2 linked regions of the Sus scrofa genome follow. The protein of the gene in region 1 interacts with the protein of each later gene in a biochemical or structural test. Links are inferred from orthologs where the notes say so. Each region holds a gene or a part of one and is shown in the gene's direction. Other genes may lie near its edges. The genes, in order: DYRK1B and HNF1A.

What was found.
Region 2: of the proteins of DYRK1B (region 1) and HNF1A, one has a biochemical effect on the other in vitro, tested with the Homo sapiens proteins (2 studies listed by IntAct, with this or other methods). The link is inferred for Sus scrofa from reciprocal best matches to the Homo sapiens genes DYRK1B and HNF1A.

What each region holds. Positions count from the first base shown.
Region 1 is NC_010448.4:48,308,123-48,311,528, reverse strand, and holds part of DYRK1B (dual specificity tyrosine-phosphorylation-regulated kinase 1B), read left to right. Parts: intron 1-425; coding exon 426-545; intron 546-641; coding exon 642-830; intron 831-1,204; coding exon 1,205-1,352; intron 1,353-2,364; coding exon 2,365-2,651; intron 2,652-3,388; coding exon 3,389-3,406.
Region 2 is NC_010456.5:40,882,183-40,885,995, forward strand, and holds part of HNF1A (hepatocyte nuclear factor 1-alpha), read left to right. Parts: coding exon 1-176; intron 177-877; coding exon 878-1,069; intron 1,070-3,257; coding exon 3,258-3,379; intron 3,380-3,464; coding exon 3,465-3,609; intron 3,610-3,813. UniProt on the Homo sapiens protein: Transcriptional activator that regulates the tissue specific expression of multiple genes, especially in pancreatic islet cells and in liver. Binds to the inverted palindrome 5'-GTTAATNATTAAC-3'.

The sequences.
Region 1 (3,406 bases):
CCCAGGGAATGAGGGTAAAGCAAGATAGGGGCCCTCAAGGGGGAATGCCCAGAAGGGGTGGTTCCAGGTGAAGGACTGGGCGGGCAGAGCCCCAGGTTTCTCTCAGATCTCCCCCACGGAGGTTTAGGAAAGAGCGAAAGGGATGGGATGAAAGGTCCGGGGTAAACCGTTCACTCCGTCCCTCTCTGAGCAAATTTCTAATGAACATCTGTGTGCCAGGCCCTGTTCCAGACACGGGACATAAAGCAAGAAGGAGATCAAGTCTCTGTCCTTGGGGAGTTTCCATTCTAGCGGGGTGGTCAGACCATGACCACATGGTCCTGCCTGTGGTCACGAGGAACCAGCTGCCCAGATAGGGCTCCCGCTTGAGGTCGGAGGGGAAGGCCTGGCCTCAGTGCCCACCTGGCCCCCCGCCCTCCCCCCAGGTACTGCCTGATGTGCGGCTGCTGCCGCGGAGGTTGCCCCTGGCCTTCCGAGACGCGACCTCGGCCCCGCTGCGCAAGCTCTCCGTGGACCTCATCAAGACCTACAAGCACATCAATGAGGTGGGCGGGGTGGGGGCCCGGGCTGGGTGCGGAGGGGTCCTGGCCTGCCAGCACAGGCCGCTCACCAGTCCGCATCTCCTGGCCGGTCCCCGGCAGGTTTACTATGCGAAGAAGAAGCGGCGGGCCCAGCAGGCGCCACCTCAGGACTCGAGCACCAAGAAGGAGAAAAAGGTCCTGAACCACGGTTACGACGACGACAACCATGACTACATCGTGCGCAGTGGCGAGCGCTGGCTGGAGCGCTACGAAATCGACTCCCTCATTGGCAAAGGCTCCTTTGGCCAGGTGTGGGATGACCCCGACCCCAGCCGTGCTCCAGGGCTTGGGAGGAGCGGGCACCACTGGTGCTGACCCCCACAGCCAGCGGTTCAGTGGCTTCGCGTTTCGTGCTGGGCCACTCACCAGCACGGTCTGGTTTCCCTGTGCCACGGTTTCTGTAAGAGCGCCTCAGTAACAGGCCCTCCACGTAAGGTTGTTGTGTTTTCTCATGTCCAGCGTTGACACGAGTGTCTGACGATTGGCGAGCTTGCAATTTGGAAGTATTAGTATCGTTGATGGTGGTATGGGTGGGTCTCCTTGGCTGGAGGGCGACGAGTGGTACCTGGCTCTGTGCCTCGCGCCCCTTTGCCCTCGTCTTGTGACGCGCCCTGCCCTGGCAGGTGGTGAAGGCCTATGACCATCAGACGCAGGAGCTGGTGGCCATCAAGATCATCAAGAACAAAAAGGCCTTCCTGAACCAGGCCCAGATCGAGCTGCGGCTGCTGGAGCTGATGAACCAGCATGACACAGAGATGAAGTACTACATAGGTGAGGCCCGCCGCAGGGCTGTGTGGGGATGAGCCACCCTCAGTACCCGAGGGGGCTGCTGTCCTCAGGGCAAGGTGTGGTTTGTAATCCCCCACATCAGTGATTTCTCCTGCCACCCTCACAGTTTTTACCCTATTCACATGACAAAGCTGGTCAAAGTTTATTGGGTGCTCTCTAAGGGTCAGGCTCTGTTGTAAGAACTTTACGTAAGTTTTCCACAGCCCCATGGGAAGGAGCATCATTGCCCACAGCTTGGAGATGAAGAAACAGAGGCACTTAGGTGCTGTCACTTGCGTAAGATCGAGGTGTTTGTACTCAGTAGAGCTATGATTTGGCCAGACAGTGGATTCCAGAGCCTCCACTCTAAACGCCTCTGCTGGGTTTTTTCCTCTTTCCTGTACTGCTTCCTCTTAAGAAAAAGAAAGTGGATTTAAGGAGTGTGTTTCTTTTAAAAGGAAAATGCACCTCCTTACAGTAAATGGAAAGCAAGTATCCTTTGTCACAAAATAAACAGAACTGAGACTAAAACAATGTTATAAAATTAAACGGGGAAGTGTAGGGATGGTGTTAAAGACCCATCAGCACCGAATGGAAACTTTCTCTTTGGTTTAAATCAGAAAATGTGAGAGACTTGAAAAGCGAGCTAACTTAACTTCCTGTGTGAATCAGATTATAGACATAAAAACATCCTCAAGAAACAAAACAAAAAACCTCCCAGGGGGTTCCGTGGTGGTTCAGCGGGTGAAACATTCAGCGTTGTCGCTGCAGCCACCGGGTCGCTGCTGTGGCACAGGCACAGGTTCGATCCCTGGCCAGGGAACTTGCTCCTGCCATGGACACAACCAAAAAAAATAAGTAAATGAAATAAAATCCTGGCTAGCAGAACAGTTTGGCCTGTGCTCCAGAAGCAGAGACAAAGATCTCTTTATTATTGGGTACCCCAGGCCGCCACCGGCCCTCTCTCAGCCTTAATTTCTTCTCCTTCGGCCCATTTTCGCCTCCTTGCCAACAGTGCACCTGAAGCGGCACTTCATGTTCCGGAACCACCTGTGCCTGGTGTTCGAGCTGCTTTCCTACAACCTGTACGACCTCCTGCGCAACACGCACTTCCGCGGCGTCTCACTGAACCTGACGCGGAAGCTGGCGCAGCAGCTCTGCACGGCGCTGCTCTTCCTGGCCACGCCTGAGCTCAGCATCATTCACTGCGACCTCAAGCCCGAGAACATCCTGCTCTGCAACCCCAAGCGCAGCGCCATCAAGATAGTGGACTTTGGCAGCTCCTGCCAGCTCGGCCAGCGGGTGCGGCCCGGGGCGGGGCTAGAGGTGTGGGTGTGGCCAGAGAGTGGGCGGGGCCGACGGAGGACCAGGACGGGATTGGATGGTCGCGTGCAGCGGCCCGAGGGTAGTGCTTGGGACAGGGTGTCTGCAAGTACAGAGGGTGGGGTCATTGGGTGAAGAGGGTGATGGAGAGGGCCTTGGGGTGTCCTGCCCGAAGGACAGCGAAGAGTGGAGCCCGAGAGGACGAAGCCCGGGGCCAGTTTTGAGGCTGCCAGAATGGGGGAGGGGGAGGAGGAGTTGGGTGCCTTTGAGCCTGGGGTGGCACTTTGCTCCGTTTGTTTACCTTGTGCTCTTAAAGCTGGGGAGGGAAGAGGACAGGGCTCGTCAGCTTTGCAGCTTCCGGTGAGAAGGCCTTTGAGAAGACGCTGGTAGTGGTTTGAAAGGGTCTGGATTGGAAGGGTGGGAAGAGGCTAGGTCTGCGGATTGCCGGATCCTGGTGACCCATAGGGGCTCAGGGTCAGGCCAGGGGATGGAGATCGGGATCAGACTAGGCCAGCAGAGACTCCTGAAACTGATGAGTGAGGTAGTGGCAGCAATCCTTGGGAGGTTGTGCTGAAAACATCAGGGTTTGAAGACCCCCATCCCCAGTTCTGGAGGCAGGAGGCTTGTGCACAGTCAGTCCTCCTAGGTTTGGGGGTGTCGGGGGTACCCACAGGGAAGGCTGGGACCTCTGACTGTTGCCCTTTCCCCTCCCCCAGATCTACCAGTACATCCAG
Region 2 (3,813 bases), on another chromosome or scaffold:
CCCTGTCAGCACCCTGACAGCGCTGCACAGCTTGGAGCAGACATCCCCAGGCCTCAACCAGCAGCCCCAGAACCTGATCATGGCCTCACTTCCCGGGGTCATGGCCATCGGGCCTAGTGAGCCTGCCTCCCTGGGCCCCACATTCACCAACACAGGCGCCTCCACCCTGGTCATTGGTAAGCTGGTGGGGAAGGAGGGAGGCATCTGGGTGTGGTGCTCCCACAGGATCCAGGAGCTGGGAGAGAAACTGGGACTCCTTCATTCATGTATTTATTAGGGCCCACTCTGCGCTCGTCTAGTGATACACAAGTGAACTGAACAGACCAAAATCTCAGTCACCCAAGTGGGGAGGCAGACAATCAGCCTAACACGTAAATTATATACAGTGTATATTTACAGTTTAGAAGGTAAAACAGCTATGGCAAAACAGCGGGGTAAAAGGGACTGAAGTTTTCTAGGTTTTAGTTTAGGTTTTTTTTTTTTTTTTTTAAGCCCATAAAGACTCTTTGCAGGAATGGTTATGCAGAAGCTCAATATGTAAGACAGACAGGGAGCTGCCCAGAGAGGGGTAGAGAAAGTTAGGCCCCAGGGCCTGTGTACTACTGTGAAACCCAAGGGTTCGAGGGAACCTAGCTTGACACACACACTCCCCACCCCATCCATATAACGAGCCAGTGGCTCAGAGAGATGGAGCCACTTGCCAGGGCTATAACTTAGTGGCAGTTCTTAGTGCAAGAGTGTCTCTTGATCACTTCATTCCCTCCTCCAATCCACTGGCCCCAGGAGGGAGGGATGGTACCCCTGGGGTCTGGGCTGGGTCTGGGGAAGCCAAGGAGGTGGCAGAAGGCCTGGCCGACTCCTGCCCCTCCTGCTCCAGGCCTGGCCTCCACTCAGGCACAGAGCGTGCCGGTCATCAACAGCATGGGCAGCAGCCTGACCACCCTGCAGCCCGTCCAGTTCTCGCAGCCACTGCACCCTTCCTACCAGCAGCCACTCATGCCCTCCGTGCAGAGCCACGTGGCCCAGAGCCCCTTCATGGCCACCATGGCCCAGCTGCAGAGTCCCCACGGTGAGCGCCCCTTGGTCCCACACTGGGGGAGGTGGTGGGGGAGGATGGCTGGTGATAAGCTCAGGGGAAGGCTTCTGTTTAGCAGACACTGTGGCCTGTGGGTGTACAAGCATGACTGCTTCTGTGACAGGGGCTCTGCGGGTGCTAGGATGAGTGTCTGTGGGCCAGAATGTTTCAGTGTGTGAATCCGTGTGGCCGTGTGTGTGTGTGTGTGCACTCGTGCACATGTGGGTTTGTGTGAGTGTATGTGGGCGACATCCTGTCATCAAACACCGGGATTCCTGCAGCACGAGGTAGAATTCTAAGAAGGAAGTTAACATAAATTCCCACATAGCCTCACATTAGGTTTAGGTCAGATTTTGCCACCAAATGAGCTCTAGTGCCAAACTGATGAAAACTCATTGGTTTTCAGACCTTTATGGAATTTGGAATCGTGGATAAGGGATTGTGGACCTGAACATCTGTGTATTTGGTTGAGGGCACCATTTATGAGTGAATGTGGGTGGATGAGTGTTTTTGTTTTTTTTGTTTTTTTTGTTTTTTTTTACCAAGTTGCATGTATTTTAATGTAAACAGAGAGGAAATTTCCAAAGCCAGTAGGTATTAAAGTCTCCATACTGATACACTATATTGATCCTAAAGTAACAAAACAGTAAAAGTTTTAGGACAATGTACATTATCAACGAATGTTCAGTGAGTTGAATTTAAAGTACCACTCCTTCAATTTAGTAAGATGAAGACACTACACCATGAAAAAATATAGGTAATAAAGGGCTAAATAAAGGTAAATTTAAAAAAACCAAGGTCCGGAGTTCCCGTCGTGGCGCAGTGGTTAACGAATCTGACTAGGAACCATGAGGTTGCGGGTTCGGTCCCTGCCCTTGCTCAGTGGGTTAACGATCCGGCGTTGCCGTGAGCTGTGGTGTAGGTTGCAGACGCGGCTCGGATCCCGCGTTGCTGTGGCTCTGGCGTAGGCCGGTGGCTACAGCTCCGATTCGACCCCTCGCCTGGGAACCTCCATATGCCGTGGGAGCGGCCCAAGAAATAGCAACAACAACAACAAAAGACAAAAAAAAATAAAAATAAAAATAAAAAAAATAAAAAAACCAAGGTCAGAGCTAGGTGGGGCCCTAGGATAACTTAGGAAAGTGGTTTAAACTAGAAGCCTCATGCATGCTTGGTTTCACTCCAGCGGGAAGTACATTTGCTCTACTAGAGACCAAACTTGGGCTAAAGAGTGGAAATTTAGACAAGGAATTTATGATAGAAAAAAAAAATAAAGACATGCTATAGCACAAAAAACCAGACAACACAAAGGAAGCACCTCTTTTACCACCACTGATCTGTGAATCTCTATTTGCAATTAACCTTAACTGTATATAGGTTTACATTACATCCTTTTTAAAAAAATTACTCAGTGAATTTTATTACATTTATAGTTGTACAACGATCATCACAACCAAATTTTATAGCATTTCCTTCCCAAACCCTCAGTGCCTCCTCCCCCATCCCCCTCAAGCTGTCTCATTTGGAAACCATTGAGGTTTTTTTTTGGGGGGGGGGCTAAGCCGATGGGATGCAGAAGTTCCTGGGCCAGGGATCAAACCTGCGCCACTGTGGGAACCAGAGCCAGAGCAGTGACAACACGGGATCATTAACCTGCTAAGCCAAAAGAGAACTCCTGGGTGGGTAGATTTTTATCCATGCGATTTGTGTTATTTTTCTGCTGGCATCTGTGTTTTTGTGGGGCTGGGGACTGACTACAGGTGAAAGGTTGGGTTACACTGTGGAGAGGGTCCTGGAGTAGAGATATGCTGTCCCCCCCACCCCCCAACAGGGGGCGCCAGCCTTTCCCTCCAAGGTCGGTGCTTAGGACAACAGCACCTGTGCCTCTTGTTCCCTTTCACACCTGGTAATTCCACGTGAAGGAGCTGGGTTTGGGTTCCTGGACTCCCCCAGACTCCTCTCCACCAGACTAGGCAAAGCAGGCCCCTGTAGTTGGGGAGCGCATCCAACTCTTCTATCTGGAGCTCCCAGACCTGGAAATGAACCCTGAGTCCCCAACTACTGTCCCACAGGGCTGCTCACCAGGCCCACACCCTACTTTCCCTGAGCCCCCACTTTGAGGCCCTCCTGGGAGGGGTGCCCAGGTGCCATGTATATACCCTCCCCTCCCCCTCCCGGCCAGCCCTCTACAGCCACAAGCCCGAGGTGGCCCAGTACACCCACACGGGCCTGCTTCCGCAGACCATGCTCATCACCGACACCACCAACCTGAGCGCCCTGGCCAGCCTCACGCCCACCAAGCAGGTAAGGCCCAGGCTTGCCCCAGCCCCTCCCCGGGCCCTGCCCCAGGGCACAACCAGGAGGGCTCAGGAGGCTGCCTTTCCACCAGGTCTTCACCTCGGATACTGAGGCCTCCAGCGAGTCTGGGCTTCACACGCCGGCATCTCAGGCCACCACCATCCACATCCCCAGCCAGGACCCTGCTGGCATCCAGCACCTGCAGCCCGCCCATAGGCTCAGTGCCAGCCCCACTGGTGAGCAACCTTTCCTTGGCCCCCTTCCCTGATGTCCCCAAAGCTGGGGAGCAAGGTATGCCCAGCAGAGGGGGGTAAATGAGAAGGGGCACCTGTGCTCCCCCAAAGTGAGCCAAGTGGGGTGTGAAACCACAGGAAATGGGTCTCACAGTAACTTCTATTAGGCTCAGCTGATGAAAAAGATAACCAGAAGAGGTAATAGCG